2 linked regions of the Macaca fascicularis genome follow. The protein of the gene in region 1 purifies or fractionates together with the protein of each later gene. This does not show direct contact. Links are inferred from orthologs where the notes say so. Each region holds a gene or a part of one and is shown on either strand. Other genes may lie near its edges.

Region 1 (3,816 bases):
CACTGCACTCCAGCCTGGGCGACAGAGTGAGACTCTATCCCCACCCAAAAAAACCTCAATTTTCGGCCAGGCATGGTGGCTCACGCCTGTAATACCAGCATTTTGGGAGGCAGAGGGGGGCAGATCACTTGAGGTCAGGAGTTTAAGACTAGCCTGGCCAACATGGTGAAACCCCATCTCTACTAAAAATACAAAAATTAGCCAGGCATGGTGGCACACACCTGTAATCCCAGCTACTCAGAAGGCTGAGCCAAGATCACGTCACTGCACTCCAGTTGGGTAACAGAGCAAGGCTCTATCTACATATAAAAAACAAAAAACAAACAAAAAACTTACTTATATTTGAGAATGTGGAAATTTAGGTATTCTTTATGAATGGCAGTGATTTTTATTCAGATATTAAATTTGATATATCAGTCCCAAAGTACTATATAAAAACAAATAAAATTTTCTGTTAAGCTTATTCACAGAAATGTTAGTACAAATAATGGAAAAGGACATCTAATCCAGGATTAAGCCATCATCCTACCTTGTCACTTAGAGGTGGACGATTCATAGGACTAATTCCTTTTCGAATTCCAGTTGTTTTCCTAGCTGCGAGGCCAGTGATAACTCCATTAGGACGTCTCTTTCCAGGCATGACTCTTCCTCTACGATTCAGACTAGTCTTACCAAAACCTAGAGGAAGCAAAAAGAGAAGAAAATGTCAATTTAACAATTCAGCTGGGAGGGTCACAGGATATTCTATTTTCCAAGGAAGGAGGAAGTTATGAACCTTTATTATGTTATGATTTATGTTTTTTAAATGACATAAGATATGTCATTTTAAAGCAATCTGTTGCATTGGGAAGGGTTCTGTGGCTATACCGGACTGTAAATAACTAGAGGATTCGCACATGTGGCCATACTCTTTCGTCATTAGTTTCTCAACAAACAGGACAGTCCACAGAGTCTTTACCTGTGCAGTAGGGTCGATACTAACCATCTGTGGTTACTACTGAGTACTTGAAGTTAAGTACTAGTCTGAATCGAGATATTTCAAGGTAAAATATTTCACTGATGATTTTATATAAATCATATAGTGAAATATTTTAGAGATACTCAGCGAAGTAAAATATATTCATATGTGCTCAATCTTTATTGAACAGTGCTGATCTAGAGTGAAATCACTATCTCATTTCCAATTTACTTATGACAACATATTGCCATCTGGCTTCACTTTCAGCCCTACTCCATTCAAATCGCTTTTGCTAAAGTCGCCAGTGCCAATAGACACATTTTAATCTGCGGCATGTGACATTACCAACTTTGGTTTTCCATTATATATCTTACCTATTTAAATACTTTTTCTAGGCTGGGCACAGTGGCTCATGCCTGTAATCCCAGCACTTGGGAGGCCGAGGCAAGAGGATCCCTTGAGCTCAGGAGTTCAAGACCAGCCTGGGCAACACAGGGAGGCCTCACCTCTAAAAATTAGTTGGGCATGGTAGCACACGCCTATAGTCCCAGCTACTCAGGAGGCTGGGGTGAGAGGATTGCTTGAGTCCAGGAGCTCTAGGCTGCAACAGAGTGAGACCCTGTCTCCAAAAAATAAATACATTTAAAAATAAATAAATATATAAATAAATAAGTAAATACTTTTTTCTAGTTAAAAAAAAAATAGGGGCCGGGTGTGGTGACTCACGCCTGTAATCTCAGCACTCTGGGAGGCCGAGGAGGGTGAATCACGAAGTCGGGAGATCAAGACCATCCTGGCTAACACTGTGAAACCCGTTTCTACTAAAAATACACAAAATTAGCTGGGCGTGGTGGCACGCACCTGTAGTCCCAGGTAATAGGGAGGCTGAGGCAGGAGGATCACTTGAGTTTGGGAAGCAGAGGTTACAGTGAGCTGAGATCACACTGTATTCCAGCCTAGGGTGACAGAGCAAGATGCTGTCTCACACACACACACACACACACCCTGTCTCAAACGCACACACACCCCTATATTGTGAAAATATTATCCCATGTTTTTGATATCCTTTTATTGAATTACTTTTTAATATGCCATACTTGATCCAATCAACTTTAGAGTAATCATTTCAGTTAGTTCTAATGATAAATAATATCACAATGGAACCATAGATATATTTTTAAATACATCCACGATTATTTTCTGAAGATGTGAGTTTCTAGAAGGTGAAATGTTAGTTAAACAGTAAAGCAAACTCTTTTTTTTTTTATTTGAGACGGAGTTTCACTCTGTCGCCCAGGCTGGAGTGCAATGGCGTGATCTCGGCTCACTGCAACCTCCACCTCCCAGGTTCAAACAATTCTCCTGCCTCAGCCTCCCTAGTAGCTGGGATTACAGGCACACACCACCACACCCAGTTATATTTTTGTATTTTTAGTAGAGACGGGGTTTCACCATGTTGGTCAGGCTGGTCTCAAACTCCTGACCTCAGGTGATCTGCCTGCCTTGACTTCCCAAAGTGCTGGAGTTACAGGCGTGAGCCACCACAGCTGGCTTAAAGTTTTTAGTTTTTAAATCAAATTATTGCTGCCCTACGTGTGGTTTCCTTCTGAAATTGCAACCAGATGAAGATTAAACCATATTGGGAAAAACTGTACATTAAAACTAATTCCAATATAGAATCACTTGCTATTTGTGTTAAATAACATGACAGCTACCCTTCACTGTCCTAGGCACTGTGCTGAGTACCCTAATTCGTACGGTAAGCTGAGCTGAGCGCTGTAATTCGTATGATAATCTGAGCTGAGCACTGTAATTTGTATGAAAATCTGAGCTGAGCACTATAATTCCTATGATAATCTGATAAGACTGATACTAAAGATCTTTCTTGAGAAAGGAAGAAATGGGAAAATATTCCAAAAGAACGAGTGAGTTTGTAGGGCAAAAAGAAAAGATTAAAAGGAGGAGGAACCCATTATTATACCGAAATTTCAGGACTAGATGAGAAAGACTGACAAGAGTCTCTCATAAATAGCAATCAAATGGATTAAAACAAGATCTTAAGTATGAAATAAGGTTGGGTACCGCAGCTCACGCCTGTAATTCCAACACTTAGTGAGGATGAGGCTGGTGGATCATTTGAGGTCAGAAGTTCGAGACCAGCCTGGCCAACATGGTGAAACCTCGTCTCTACTAGAAATACAAAAATTAGCTGCCAGGCGTGGTGGTGGGCGCCTGTAATCCCAGCTACTCAGGAGGCTGAGGCATGAGAATCGCTTGAACCTGGGAGGCGGAGGTTGCAGTGAGCCAAGATCGCACTACCACACTCCAGCCTGGGCGATGGAGCAAGACTCCATCTCAAAAAACAAAAAATAAAAAAAAATAAAATAAACAAGTATGGAATAGATCTCTATCCCTTGACGCTATTTCTATTGATAGTACAGTACATTGTTCCCATACTTATCAATCTTTCTACTGTCTTTTTTTTTCTCTTATCCATGGTGTTGCCTTTTTTGGTTTGCTTTTTTTTGAGATAGAGTCTCGCTTTGTCATCCAGGCTGGAGTGCAGTGGCCGGATCTCAGCTCACTGCAAGCTCCGCCTCCCAGGTTCAAGAGATTCTCCTGCCTCAGCATCCCAAGTAGCTGGGACTACAGGTGCCACCACCACACCCAGCTAATTTTTGTATTTTTAGTAGAGATAGGATTTCACTATGTTGGCCAGGCTGGTCTTGAACTCCTGACCTCGTGATCCACCCACCTCGGTTTCCCAAAGTTCTGGGATTACTGGCATGAGCCATGGCGCCTGACCTCCTCCTCTACTTTCTAATCAGGCCTATATGATTCGTTCTCCCACCTTTCTA
Region 2 (3,916 bases), on another chromosome or scaffold:
ATCACTGAAGACAAGCTTGCTTCACCAAGAATTTGAACCAATAAGGTAACCCGTAGTGTATTTACTAACCAGATTCTTTGAGCAGGGAGGCAGAATACAATAGAGAATTAGAGATGTTTGCATCCTGGCTGTAACCTCACTAGCTGTACTGCTTGGGATATGTTGCTTTGCTTCTGTCAATAAGATGACAAGAACGGTACCTACTCCTTAGTATTAAAAGATTAAGTGTGCTAACAGGGAGAGGGTCAAACGTTTGTTGTTTTATTACACAGCAGGACATCAGGTCTTACTTTTGTAGCTCCCCATCTCAAAGACAGGGATGGCAAATGTTTCATTCAGGAAAAAAAATCCAGGTTGAACAATGGGGCTGTTGGGGTGGGGCCAAGAACATTCTGCTCGAATTAACAGTATTAATGGGCCTGGTGAGGTGGCTCACGCCTGTAATCCCAGCACTTTGGGAGGCCGAGGCAGGTGGATCACCTGAGGTCATACATGGGTGAAAACCCGTCTCTACTAAAAAACCAAAAATTTGCTGGGCGTGGTAGCGGGCGCCTGTAATCCTAGCTACTTGGGAGGCTGAGGCAGGAGAATCGCTTGAACCCAGGAAGCAGAGGTTGCAGTGAGCCGAGACCACGCCATTGCACTCCAGCCTGGGCGACAGAGCGAAACTCTGTCTCAAAACAAAAAGAAAAACAGTATTAATGGAATGTAGTATAACCCTCAAGCCCTACTATTGACACTTGGGGCCGAATCCAGACCCCGTCTTCCCGCTCGGATTCAGAACACCTTCCTGACTCCCTGGCCCTAGGGCCGCAGCTACCTCGGACAGCATCCTTTTGGGAAAATACCGCCCACTAGCCCCACGACTGGGAAAGAGTCGGGCAACGCCCCTCCCCTCAGCTAGGGCCTGCCGTTTCCTAGTGCTTGCCCAGCCGCCCTCAGGTCACCTTCACTACCGGGCCAAGGACCCCGTGGGAACTCGCAGCCCTCGCCACACCGGTTCCTCGCGCATCCATGGAGTGCCTAGAGAGAAGACCTGCATGGCAAAAACCTAAACGAAGAGATGAGAGGCATGGAGAGGAGTACGACAACAGAAGAAAGATAACAGTGGGAGGAGACGTTAGTTTCCTTTATCCGTTTTGTTACTGGCGGTAGCAGGGAAGTTAGAAACGGTTTTAAAACAAATTTCAGACAGGCATTTTCCAAAGGCAAGCCTGGAGCGCACGGATCTGTACAACCGCGGAAGGCCCCGTTTCCGGTCCCTTGCGCCTGCGCTCTTGCAGCCAAGAAGGCGGGAGGCTGGAGTAGGGAGAAGCCTGCAACCGGAAGTGAAGGCAGATTTCCCTCCTTCGTCGCTGTTGCTGCCGCCATACGCGCTCTGCCTGCTTAGGTAAGCTTTGGCGTTCACTACAATCCGTTGCCATCTGCGCTTCTTCGCACCCATCCCGTCACATGGGTTCCTGATACCCTTTTCACAGGCGATCGTCTGGTCTCTGGGGCCTAGTTGGTTCCCCATTTCCGTAGCTTGCATCCCTTTCGAGAGCAAAGAGCTCTTGGGGGAAGGAAGGGAAGCTAAGGGGGGGCCCAATCCAAGATGGTGTCCTCGGCGCCATTGTGTTCGTTTTGCTCCCTTCTTCCAGTAGGTTCTTTTCATATTGGAGGCCTCAGCATCAATGAGAGGCGGCGCTAGGCGTCCCTTGGTCTTGGTATTTGCGGAGGGCGGGGCTCTTATCACCTTACTTGTCCTTTCTTGAGCCCTTTCTTGGCCCACGGTGGGACTGGGAGGAGGAGCCGGTTTTTGGGCCCAGTTGGATTTTTCTCACCTTGACTCGCCCAAGTTAATTTGGAGTGCCTTACAAGTGTTTACTACTGGTGTCATTGTATGTTTCTCCAAAAGGAGTCTCACCTTCGTAGCGCAACAGTGATGTCAGACCACTTGGTAAAGATCCTGTTAAAGCCTGGGCGGGGATTGCCTTTCTCTGTCAACTATTAACTTTGTTATTGTAGGGTGGAGACATGGATTTTTTTTTTTTTGGTGGCCGAGCCATTTGTCTTGCACCGCCCCTCCCCCCCATGCTAATTACACAAGGCTTTCTTAAACAACGGAAGAGAGGATACTGAGAAGTGGGAGGCTGAGAGCTATGGGAGGTGGACGGCGGCCATATGATGTTTTCTTTTCGAAAGATGAGCGCTTTGCGCAGTGATGACCCTCATCTATCACCCTTGACTGATGGCTGCTGAGTTAGGCATCCATAACGGTGGGATTATAATAGGGAAAGCACAGTCTTCCTTTGAGGACTTTCCAGGACTCTGCTTGTCATCTCCATTTTCCACTTTACTAAGTTATTAATCATATTTTATCTTTTATTATCTATTATATTTCCTCACTGTTATTTTCAGATTAAGAATTTATAAGTTGGTCTTCCCCTTCCAACTTTTCTGGTTTCCGCTACTGTGATTGCTAATCTTGTTGGGAACCTGTGTCCTAACCACTTTCGCTGGTGCTGCTTTTTCTGTTCTCTTGTATTTGCTTTTCGTTTTTATGTTGTGTATCTGTTTTTTTTTCCATGTAAAAGTTTCCTAGTTTAGGGAAAGTGGGAACTGGGAATGGAAAAGAGGTGGTGAAGGCTCTGCTCGTGACTAAGTCTTGCTTTTTTTTTTTTTCCCCTTCCCCAGCTCTTCTGTTAGAAATAGTATCTTTATTTTCCTTTGCTGTTCCTCAATCCCCTACTCTTCACCCCTTGTTTTCACCTGTTTTGCGAGAACCCATCCAGATCCCCCTTCCCGTCTTCCCCTGCCGGCCCAGTTATGGCAGAGAACGATGTGGACAATGAGCTCTTGGACTATGAAGATGATGAGGTGGAGACAGCAGCTGGGGGAGATGGGGCTGAGGCCCCTGCCAAGAAGGATGTCAAGGGCTCCTATGTCTCCATCCACAGCTCTGGCTTTCGTGACTTCCTGCTCAAGCCAGAGTTGCTCCGGGCCATTGTCGACTGTGGCTTTGAGCATCCGTCAGAAGGTAAATTTTCTCTTGGGCATGTAGTGCTCATTGGGCTCTTTAAGGGTACAATAAAAAGATGTGTTTGTTGTTGCTCAGGTGGTAAAAGTTTATACTTAAGGCTAGATCAGGGTCAGGTGCAGGGGCTCACGCCTGTAATCCCAGCGCTTTGGGAGGGCAAGGCAGGAGGGGTGGTCACTTGAGCTCGAGTGCAAGAGAAGCCTGGGCAAGATAGGGAGACTCCTGTCTCTACTAAACGAAGCAGGTGAAGGTTGAGGCTTCAGTGAGCCGTTATTGCACTACTGTACACCAGCCGGGGAGACAGGAAAAAAAAAATCAGGAGATAAGTATCGAAAACGATTTTGGATAGAGGAGGATTATACAGACTTGTTCTTTCTTTCATGATAGCACCAAAGTGCTAATTATCCAAAAGTAGCTTCTAGGTCTGCCATTCATTCTTGTGACTGACTTCTTTTGTCTGCTTATTTTTAATTTTGTCATTTGACTTGTAATTTTAAATTTCCAGAAAGGTCCTGATTGGACCTGTAGTCTCCCTCTGTTGGGCCAGGCCAACTGTGGCCTCTGGAAACCTCTATGACTGGTTTAGAGATGACTGGCTTCTGGGTCAGGTACCAAGTCCTTCATTTTGTCCCGGGTTGTTGTTATGTGACCCGAAGTATGGCAACCTAAGTAGGAGAAATGTCTTTAGCAGGTATTCAGATGTCATGAATTGTTACAGATTAAGAAAAATAAGGACAGAGCCAGGAGCATTGAAGGTGAGCGGTTGGTAGATGCAAGGGGGCTGTTAGTAGGACTGGGAAGGCCTAGATCTGGAGGAGGCCAAAGCTGGGATGAATTAGGAGAGTCTGATTTTGAGGTGAATATAATTGAGCAGAGAGAGGTAAAAGGGGTCTGGAA

The links.
Region 2: the proteins of FYTTD1 (region 1) and DDX39B purify together in Homo sapiens (affinity purification with mass spectrometry; 5 studies listed by BioGRID and IntAct, with this or other methods). This does not show direct contact. The link is inferred for Macaca fascicularis from reciprocal best matches to the Homo sapiens genes FYTTD1 and DDX39B.

The regions. Positions count from the first base shown.
Region 1 is NC_088376.1:1,076,818-1,080,633, forward strand, and holds part of FYTTD1 (UAP56-interacting factor), read right to left. Parts: intron 679-3,816; coding exon 530-678; intron 1-529. UniProt on the Homo sapiens protein: Required for mRNA export from the nucleus to the cytoplasm. Acts as an adapter that uses the DDX39B/UAP56-NFX1 pathway to ensure efficient mRNA export and delivering to the nuclear pore.
Region 2 is NC_088378.1:140,188,879-140,192,794, forward strand, and holds the start of DDX39B (spliceosome RNA helicase DDX39B), read left to right. Parts: upstream 1-1,336; 5' UTR 1,337-1,390; exon of another isoform or gene 1,391-1,939; intron 1,940-2,158; exon of another isoform or gene 2,159-2,236; intron 2,237-2,676; 5' UTR 2,677-2,808; coding exon 2,809-3,019; intron 3,020-3,916. UniProt on the Homo sapiens protein: Involved in nuclear export of spliced and unspliced mRNA. Component of the TREX complex which is thought to couple mRNA transcription, processing and nuclear export, and specifically associates with spliced mRNA and not with unspliced pre-mRNA.